Coturnix japonica: one gene and its partner. The protein of the gene in region 2 interacts with the protein of the main gene of each other region in a biochemical or structural test. Links are inferred from orthologs where the notes say so. Each region holds a gene or a part of one and is shown on either strand. Other genes may lie near its edges.

Evidence for each region. The genes of interacting proteins can lie anywhere in the genome.
Region 1: the proteins of FYB1 (region 2) and SKAP1 form a complex in vitro, tested with the Homo sapiens proteins (2 studies listed by BioGRID and IntAct, with this or other methods). The link is inferred for Coturnix japonica from reciprocal best matches to the Homo sapiens genes FYB1 and SKAP1.

What each region holds. Positions count from the first base shown.
Region 1 is NC_029542.1:3,285,890-3,291,009, forward strand, and holds part of SKAP1 (src kinase-associated phosphoprotein 1), read left to right. Parts: intron 1-2,933; coding exon 2,934-3,039; intron 3,040-5,120. UniProt on the Homo sapiens protein: Positively regulates T-cell receptor signaling by enhancing the MAP kinase pathway. Required for optimal conjugation between T-cells and antigen-presenting cells by promoting the clustering of integrin ITGAL on the surface of T-cells.
Region 2 is NC_029547.1:11,245,387-11,250,506, reverse strand, and holds part of FYB1 (FYN-binding protein 1), read left to right. Parts: intron 1-150; coding exon 151-261; intron 262-1,231; coding exon 1,232-1,290; intron 1,291-2,439; coding exon 2,440-2,459; intron 2,460-3,211; coding exon 3,212-3,258; intron 3,259-4,473; coding exon 4,474-4,591; intron 4,592-5,120. UniProt on the Homo sapiens protein: Acts as an adapter protein of the FYN and LCP2 signaling cascades in T-cells. May play a role in linking T-cell signaling to remodeling of the actin cytoskeleton. Modulates the expression of IL2. Involved in platelet activation.

The DNA of each region.
Region 1 (5,120 bases), on a different chromosome or scaffold from region 2:
TGCTGTGTCTTAACAATCTATACAGACTCGAGGCCTTCCAGGGGCTGAGGAGGTTTCTTGCTATGCAGGAATCAGAGGAGCTTAAGCTCATCAGGTTTTCAAACTGTGTTATAATAAGAATTCTTGTATTTAATTAAAGCGTTACAACTCAAAGAGCCAACGTGTATTGGTGTATGGGCCATAATGTCTGCTTCCCTACATTAAGCTTTGTTCCATAGTGCAGGGCTGTATGCAAGGTGCCCAAAGGGCCAGTAGCCAACTGCTAGCTTCCATCAGCCTCACTGTTATCACAGAAGACATCTCTGAGGTTGCAGTGGTTGAAAGCTGATATATCATGGCTATCTTCTCTACGCTGTGATGCTGCAGTGCTTCTGAATGCTGATAGCCTTATATTTATGAATAGATGTGGTTGGGACAGTTATATTACTCTGATCACATCACAAATAAGCAGCCCAAGTTGTCGTTACTTGCATGGGGTTTCAGTTTTGGTTCAGTCCAAGAGGCTGTTTTGCAGTTTTCCTCTAAAGGCTGAAACAGTGGTTCTTAATGTGACTTGAGTTGGTTTTCTGTTGGCAGATGGGTAGAAAAGAACAACAAGTGTTGGTTGGGGTGTGGGCACAGGAGAGATGCACACAGCCTCTAAATACCTTTCAGCTCTGCTCTCTGAGTGATGATTAACTCAGAGATTTAGTGCTGCCATTAAAAGGTTATTTACTCACCAGACTGGGGTGGCTGTGACATAACTCTTACAATGCTGTGCTCTGCGTGTGGGATTAAAGTGGATGACTGCAATTGCCTCTAGAAACCCTCCTGAAGCACTTGATGAAATCTCAACTGTTTTCCTTTTTATTCCTTCCCCCCCTCTCTTACCTTTGGTAGCTGCAGGAAATGAAAGGGAGAGTCCTGTAAACTTTCGGAGTGGATCACAGAGAGCAATCTATAAACATCAAGAATATAACGTTACTGACAAGCAGTAAAACTAACATTGGGGTGATTTACTCCGGAGCTGCTTACATATTGCTCTTCCTGATCCACTTGGAGAGTTTATGGTCAGGCTTTCTTTTTCATTTCCTGGTGCTATAAACATTGTGGCTGGCTCTGAAAAGGGCTCTGCCTGCTTTGCAGGAGGGACCACAGTTCTGTTATAACTTATCCAGCAGCTGATCTGTGCTGACATGGCAGCAAGTAAATACCATATTGCAGCTGATGGCATGCTCACGGAGCTGATCTGTGCTTAAAAAGGGCACAAGAGCAGCTGATGTTGGCCCAGTTTGTGGTTCTTGTTTGTTCTCATTGCAGCCTGCAAGGGTTTCTCTCGCTGGCTGATCTCTACAGTGTTGTCTTAAAGCTGATTTGTACATAATAAACTGTCCCTTCAGCCTCCATCTCTTCTTACATTAAGTTTCTCAGGGCAAGGTTATGTTCTTGGTGCCTAGATATGTGTATGTGGTTCTTACTTATGTTATTTGTAAGCAGTGCAAGTCCAGCACTGTTTTGTTTGTCCTAAGTCAGTGCTGTATCTTGGAGGGGGAATTAAAACAGTGTAGAGATGTGCTGAAAATGAAACTTAACCAAAGCAAAAGATCCAGCAGAGCCTCAGTGGGATACCAGGCAGGGTGAGGGTGTTCTCTCCTCCTTCTTCAGGCTGCATCTCTCTGCTCCTCTTCATCACTGTAAAGACAAAGTGGGAAGGGATTCCTGTTTGTGGGGGTGCACATCTGCCCCGCTTCCTGAGCACACAGCTTGCTCTGTCCTTGCTTCTGTCCTTTGCTTCAGAAAGATGCGTTTCTCTATTTCCCCTCCAGCTCTCAGCCTTTCTTATGTTTGCCATAAATAGGTGATGAAAATAAGAGCTCGTGACTTTAGCAGGGGGAGTTATTCATTTCTCCTGTGGCACTTTGATCTTCTGTGCTCGCAGGTAGAGGAACTGTTTTGTTAAGGAGCTATAAAGGTTCCTGGGGCATGCTGAGCAGTGCTGGCTGCTGTACCGGCAGCTGAAGCATAAGGAGCTGCAAGTCTTGCAAGCAGGATATTAAACTGACATTAGTGTCACAGTATGGGGCGTGAATTAAAGGTTGGAGAGGGCTGTGGGTGTACAGCATCACAGCTTTGAAGCCAAGCTTTGCTAGAGGAAAGCAGCAGTAAAGCTGCCGGAGGACAGGGATGATGATGCTTTCATTTACAGAGCAGGTGTGGTTGGAAATGTTCTGTTTTTCTAAGAGGCTTCTGTTAGGAGTATAAATATTCATCCAAATAGAAGGCACTTAATCTACCTGTAGTCTCTTTGTCTTTCAGTTCAGGTTAGATTTCTACACCTAGCTGTGCTTTTCAAGTGAGAGAGTATCACATTTACTTCTGCCAAGCTGTCCTGTTGGGCAAGCACAATGTATCTGAGCATTAGCAGAGAACGTGGTGTGATATATCTGTATGTGGGTGAGTGCACAACCAACCTAGTGTTCAATGCCTGCTCCTTAGGAGGGTTATTTCAGTGAAAACCACAAGCTGGGATTTCATTTAAGTGATGGGTGTAAGGTGTCCGCTGTATTAGAAGTGTTTTGGCTACTTCTGTGAATGGCAGCCTTTCATAGCAGTGGATTTTTAGGGTTTGGGGATGTAGGGAGGTATATAGGAGGTGTTGGGTGCTGCACACAACAGAGTAAGGCAGTGGTTAATGAGAGAAGTAAATGCATGTGGTGGAAGAGTGATGTTCATGCAAGGCATCTGACCTGAGCTAACTCTAATTGCTGGGTGTCAGTGGGGGACAGACCCACTGGAAGCTGTGAATCCTGGTGTCTCATGGTGGGCTGACAGTCTGTCTTCCTCATATCTGCACTAGGGCTTTCTGATCCTTGAGATGCTGATGCTGTTCTCATCCAAGGATGGGTAGCATTAGCTTCCCATTAGCTTTAACTTGTTCCTTTCCCTTTACTCAGATGCTGAGTGCTTCCTGGTGGATGGACTGCAGAATGAAAACTTGAGCCCTAAAGCAAGGGAGCAGAGGAACACGATTCTCTTTGGCTTCCAGCAAGCCAAAGCCAGGTATGTGTTGTCTCTGTATGTGTCTCCTAATGAACAGTGCCATAACTTGGGGTACTGCATGCTGTATTCAGGCAATGGGACAATTGGCCTGTGCTTTGGAAGATAATGAGCATTCAGGAGCTGCTATAATTGAGAGTATGCTGTGTCCTTCTGTTTACATCAGCTGGTTATATTTGGTTGTCTGTGGAGTTAACAGACTCCAAAGGTAGGCAGTGATGCTTCTTAAAGCAGGAAACATGATTTGGGCAGCATCTGTACAGCTCTTTGCATACGAATCTGATGCTCTTCTTCCTTCACCACGGTGCTATTGGGGGTTTTGTGTATAGGGGGGAAAATCCATTACTTGATGCTGAGATATGTGGATAAATCAGTACAGTATACAAAGGCTCACACTGCTGGCTTGCTGCTGAAAGTATCCATTCCATGTGTGGCTCCTGAGCCCAAATACACATTGCATGTAATCTGGCACAGTAAAAAGGAGAGAAGATGATTTCCTATGTTAAACCTCTGAACTGTGTTCCCAAACCTGATGACCTCAGCCTTGTTCAGGTCTTGAATGAGGGTGGGAGCTGCGTCACTTGGATTCAAGAGCAAAGCAGACAAAGGTTGTGTTGCGGTGCTAGGGGAGGATCAAGGAACATAAAACAGAAAGCATGTTGCTGGAGGCTTAAATGCAACTTGGAGCCTCAGCTGCATTATATTTCTGGCTGGAAATGTGATGTATAGCTTGTTGTTAGTGTTCTAGTTAAAAGATATGAGTTGTGTCATTTGAAGTTAAGACCTGACAATAAAACTCAGGGTGGCTGAGTGATGGAAGCATCCCATTGAAATAAAACTGCTGTCAAGTCCCTGAGATGTAGAGAGTTTTATCCTTTGGAAGGGCACAGCCAGATCCTATTCCCTGCAGTCCCACTGAAGAACTTTGCAAGATGCCCTGCTGTATCTTAATCGATCTTTCCTGCTGGCTAATTATGCATCAGTTTTACTCAGCAACACGGGACTGTGTAATTATCAGCCTGGGTTGCCCTGAATAATTGAAACAAACGGGATGCAGAAGATGGAAGCCTTTGGAAATGGGGCTGTGATGTATCTAAGGTGCGTCTGGCAGTGCCTTGTAGTGCTGGGGAGGAACCTTTTGGTGTGGGTGGGTGCAGAGGGCTGATGTGGCTTCTGAGACATTGCCAGGTAGTGACTTTGGGTTGGAAAGAGTGAAGTAAACAGGACTATGAAACTAAAGTATTCAGACATTAAGTCAAGCTTATATTTATTCCCAGCGATCTTGAGAGCTTAGGAGTGATATATCCTTGTATGATCCAGCACTAGGTCTGTCTTGAATGAATTTTACAACCAGTACCATGGAACCTGATCAATGTGTGAAGTCCTGGATGTTCAGGTTAAGATATGGGCCCCAGCCCCGCTGCTTATTGAAACAGATTGCCAGTAAATGTGGAGGTGGAAGTGAGACCCATAGTAAAGAGCACAGGGCACTGCTGATTTCCTCCTTGTGTTTTATTGCTCGGTGGCATTTGGAAATGGTGAGAAGAGCAGTGTACAAATGCTCTCCTTCTGCCCTGAGCCATTAACGCAATGGTTTGTGGTGGGAGATGACTGTAATGATGACTCTCTTTTTATCTGAAAGGCTCTGAGCAAGCCCTGCTCCTGGTAGGGTGCACAGGTCTGTCCCTTTGGGGCTTCTTGTGGCTTCGTGGCTTCTGCTCAGGAAATCAGCAGCAGTCATGCTCAGGAAGCGCTGTATAACACAGTATAGGGTTTCATTGTTTGGGTTCATCATGGACATAAGTAAACTGCTGAACTACCAGGGAGAGACACACGGTCTCTGAAAGGGAAGAGCTTCATCTCAGCTGATTATCCTGAGCCGCTCTCATAAGTGTTCCTGTAACTTCAGGTCTTTGTATGGCAGCTCTCCCCATGGCCTCATAAGAGCCCCCGCCAGGAGGGCCCTGATGGCTGTAACAGGAACAAGTGCTGGGGCTCTGTCTCCACACATTACCTGGGAGGATATATTGTTCCCCTCTTGCCAGGAGGAGTGCGGTAGGTAGGGGCTGGATTATATTTGCAGC
Region 2 (5,120 bases):
ACTTTCTCTGCCCCTTTGTAAGGGAGTAGGGGAGGGAGCAGACAGACATCCTGCTGGGTTTTGTACTCCAAAGAGGTACATTTCGTATGCTTGCATAAAGTCAGCTGAATCAATAACTGAAGCCTTCCTGTGCATTTTTCCGGAGGGAAGGAGTCAGGAGGGCCAGTCTGTCTTAGCTGACACCCCACCGTGCAAGCGCGAGGAACTGAGATCAGCGGTCGGTGTGAAACCGCACGACGGAGCGCAGCCTGGCCGGCCGCGGTAATATTAGAAGCCTCCGTTATACCTCGGTCTTACATCGCCCTTCTTCGAAAAGCCGCCGGCTAATCGGCAAGCCTACAGCGGTGAAGAGGGGAGAGCACTTCTTTATGGCGTGCAAGCTGACCGGAAACAAGCTGGGGATAATCTCGAGCTCTCCTCCGGCCAGCAGCTCGCTTCTAAGGGCAGACGGGGAGACGTATGGGACCGCCCGGCAGCGCTTTGGGCTCTGCCCGCACCCTGGAGCTGTGCTCCGTCCCCCCCTGGCGGCAGCGGCGGTCCCGGTGGGTCGGTGCTTGTTAGGGGTGGTCCCGCTCTCCTCTCCTCGCTCCCGTGACACCCCTCTATTGAATGAATACCCAGGCTGACAGTCCTACTTCGACTATTATAGAGTGTTCAAAAGTTAAAGATCTCTAATATAATTTCGAGCTAAATTTTCACTTTCTTACTTCTCTTGGTTTGGCAGCACTTCGGCAACACCAGAGCCCTTATACCTGGCCTATTCTTAAGTTGTGGTTTCTCCTGTCCACTGTTTGCACTTGCCATACAAGTCAGGGAGCAATCTGTAGAGCTGTATTTACCATTGTGCAAAACATCTGGTGTTCTGCTTGTATACTGTGTGTGAGAAGCCCTCATCTGTGAGTGTGATTAAGATGACCAACCGACACTCCACTCGGTCAGCTCATGTGCCTGTTGTATTTCTCATACCACACTCATCTCCATGGTGTCCGAGAGCCTTCAGCTCCTTTTCTCCATCCATACTCAAGACCATGGTGTCTGTATGTGAGAAACCTAATCACATGAAGAGCAGCTTAGGGAATTGCATGAGTACTTAAGGAACATATAAGGCTCAACATGGTGCCCTGTCATTCTATAAAATAATAGAAAAAGGCAGCAGAAAAATAGCTATATGAAAATGCAACCGTAAAATTATCTTTATAGCTTTCACATGTTCCCTTTTTCTTATTTACAGAAACCCAGACACTGAAGAAAACTATGATGATGTTGAATTTCTTTTACAGGGTAGGATGGGTAAGTTTTAAATAATAACAGCTATATGAAGCTGTAAGTAAATTGTATTTGTAAGAGAAGCAAAAGCATATTGTATCTTAATGTGCTTGTGAGTGATTGATGTAACTGATTATTCTGGTACTGCAGTTTTATAAACGAAGAAGTTTTTCTCATAACAGCTGTTTTACAATTAATATGACATCCTTTCAGGAACTGCTTTAAATATCTCTCTTCCACTCTCCTCCCCTAGTCTCCCTGTTTTTGTTTTGTTGTTGTGTTGAGTATAATGGGTCTGCAAATTACCAGATTTTAAAAACCAAACCGAATTAATGCTGTTCTTTCAGAGTTGAAGCTGTGCACTCCAGGCATTTTTTTATACTTGATTAAGAAAATAATAATATCTTGATTGTGCTTCTAGTGTTTCTTTCTGAGCTGCCTTCTGTAAAAGGCAGTGAGTGGCTGTGCTGTACCAGGAGCAGCCAGAGAAGCAAGCAGATTGCAACACAAAGAATTTCAATCTGCCTTCTGATCTCTCTTCTGGAGGCATCAGTCTGTGCCAGGCACAGTATGTGTCCTTTAGAGTGATGGCCATCCGTGCTGTACAGCACTGTGGGCACTGGAGCTGCATCTGAGCCCAAGCTCTTTGCTTACCAAACCTATCTGTGCAGGGAGGAGGAAGTGGTGGATTCAGATTTCCTCCTTCTGCAGCTCAGGACAGACACCGGCTTAACAGGAAAAGCTTTGCACCCCCTAAACAGCTGCAGGGTTGGTGCAAGAAAGTTGTTTGTGGTCTGCTCAGACCAAGTTGTCTTTTTTTTTTTAATGTTGATTTTACATTAAAATTCCATAGTTAAGTTTGTCAGTGTCACAGATGAATCTTGAAAACAAATTTTTCACTTCTAAAACTGTGGCAAAATAAGCTATTTTTTACAAAACAGCAGGTGAAGTGAAGTGTTTAAAGCAGGTATGACCACTTTACAATGTACAAGAAAAAGTACCTTGAAAACCTCTGTTTTTTACACTCTCAGATCCTCACTGAAAGTAAGAGCCTGCATTTATTTCCATTTAATACCACTTGTGTTTTAGCAGTCTGTAAAGAATTAAGACTAGATTGAATTGCTTTTGTACAACAGAAAATTAACATCCTGATTTTTATTTTTGGTTACGCAGGTCCTGGAAATAAAGATGGGGTAAGCGTTATCCTCCCTGATAAATTTATCCTTTTTAGTGCAAGTTACTTCCAATTAATTAGAAAATGAGTTGTGGAATGAATCTGGCCACACTGACAATAAATCGTAGAAGTATTTATTATGCAGGACATAAATAAAACTGTGTAAGCAGAGCTAACTATCAAAGCTGGCTTGACATTAGTTTACTTTTTTAACAAAAAAAGAGTGTTTTTGTTGTTGTTGCTGCTGCTTTTCTTTAAAAACAAAACAAAACTTCTATTTCTTTTGACATTTAATCTCATTGGGCTTTCCCAGAAACAAGAGCCCTGTTCCATTATAGTAATAAATGACTTGCGTCAGCTGAGCATAGGTTTGTCTTGATATATGTGAGTACCTGGCTGAACTAGGACTAAAACAGGTTCTCAGACCCTAATCTGACTTCCATTTAGATACCAGGCACTCCAGAGTGGGATGTTAGTTACTGCTACTAACTGTGGCACTTTCATCATAGCAATGCAATAATCATTGCAGATAAAGGGTTTCCAGGACTAGCATTGCAATTTAAAACATCCACTTTTGATGAAGCATTGTGCTGCTGTGATAGCAACAATCAAGGGCACTATAGCTGATATCATAAATACAAAGTCAGGAGAAAAAAAAGGATGGGTATGAAAATCTTTCTGTAAATGTTTTTATATAGTCTGTAAAGCTCATATAACAGGTTCTTCTTTTCAGATGTATCTAAACCATTTTAAATGATTTTTGTCTTACAGGACCAAGGAAGTGATGGAGAGATGTATGAGGACATAAATGACATCAGGTATTAATTTAAAACCCTGTAGCCTATTAGCAAAAACCTACAAACCCCTGTATTTTTATTAGCAAAAGCTTCCTAGAAGAGGTGCTTCATGTGGCACAATAGAAGTGATTCCAGTGCAGTTGCTACCAAGCATTATTGGATTCATCCATTTGACTTAGGGAAAGTCATATTGTTCACAGGTTATTTCTAACTTTTATCTCATATGCCCTGGGGTGAAAAAAAAATCCTTAATAAAACAATGTTATTACTGTGAGTTAGGTAAAAGGAAAGTCTGATTTCTGATCTAATGAACATGTATGAATCCCTGTTTGGAATTACTGCTTAGAAGCAAAAGCAAGGTCAGCCCCCTCAGTATTATGAACTCACAGAGATCCTTTTGTTGTGGTTGTTCTTGCTTTGTATATAAGTGAATTTGTATGAGTGACTGGATTTACAGCTCACATGGACCAAGACTCCTGGCATTTCTGTAGAGCTGAAATCAGAGCTCTGCTCACTTGTTAGCCCTTCATTCTGAGGAGTGTCTCACTGCACTAATAGCTAGGTATATGGGATTCATTGTATGCTAGGATGTAAAGAAACATTCTAATTCCTTTGGAATAAATGAGATTCTGAAGTTCCTCCACCAAAATATTGTTTCTGAAGTAGAATGACTTTCAGCATTAATTTCTTGTTAAATTCCCTTCGAAAAGTTACAGCAAAGCTGTAACTATCATCCTACTTATATCCCCACATCTTAGTACAGTCTGGCATGAAATGCATCACAGGCAATGTACCCTGGTGTATTAGGCCCACTTACAATGCAGTACACTTTATGTTGACCACTGGAATATCTTTCAATTAAGTTTAAAATAGCATGATCCTGATAGGTTCAGGCTTCAGTTCAGGCTTTGTGAACCACTGATGGCCTGGATATGTATTTGGCATCTAAGTTTGCTACCAATTTCCAGGCCTCCTTATCAAAATTAGCCTAGAACTGTTTGGACGTGCACATGCAGAGCCAGCCTTCCTTTCTGCTATATTGTCTTGAAAACAGCTGCTTTAGATTATGTATGTAGTATAAGAGAGAGGGCTACTTCTTCAATCTTTTACAACCGTGTTTGGGTTTAGAATTTGCTTCTTTGGTTTCCCTGGGAGAAGTAGTCTTCTGTCAGGTGTAGCTGCTTTTGATGTTGGGTAAGAAACCTTTACTAAGACTTGCACTGTTGTTAATTCTAGAACATCAAGGGAAAAAGAGAAGAAGTCAGAAAAGGAAGAAAAGAGAAGATTGGACCAAGAAAAGAAAGAACAAAAAGAAAAAGAAAAGAAAGAGCAGGAAATAAGGAAGAAATTCAAAGTAAGCACTTTGTTTTGTACACTGGGCAAAGACATCTAAGATTCATTAATCAGCATTGTTGAGTTCAAAATAGTTTTGCAGACGGGTGAGAAGTGTATTTGTTCTGCTAGGTAGGTCAAGCACCTGGATAAATCCTGAGTACAGTTTTCACCTACCCTTTTATGTTTGGCATATGACTGATTTCATACTCTGTAATGAAGACAAAGACGTTTTTTCAGTGTTTATGCTGTATTCATTAAGTTCCCTTATGTTCTATTTAGGAAAAGAAAAAAAGCCTTAAAAGCATTTTTCTTCACTTTTTAGTTTAAAATAATTTTCCTTCACTGAATAGCACCAAAAACCCTTTATAAAAATGGAAATTGGGGACCATATACTTCATATTGTTTGCATAACTCAAGCTAGATACAACCATATTGAGCCTCTAAGAGATTTCAGCATTAAATAGCATCACATTACCCTTGCCTTAGTCTCCAACTCAGAGGGACTTCTGGCTTAAATGGGTTGGAAGGGTGTATGATACATTTGTATG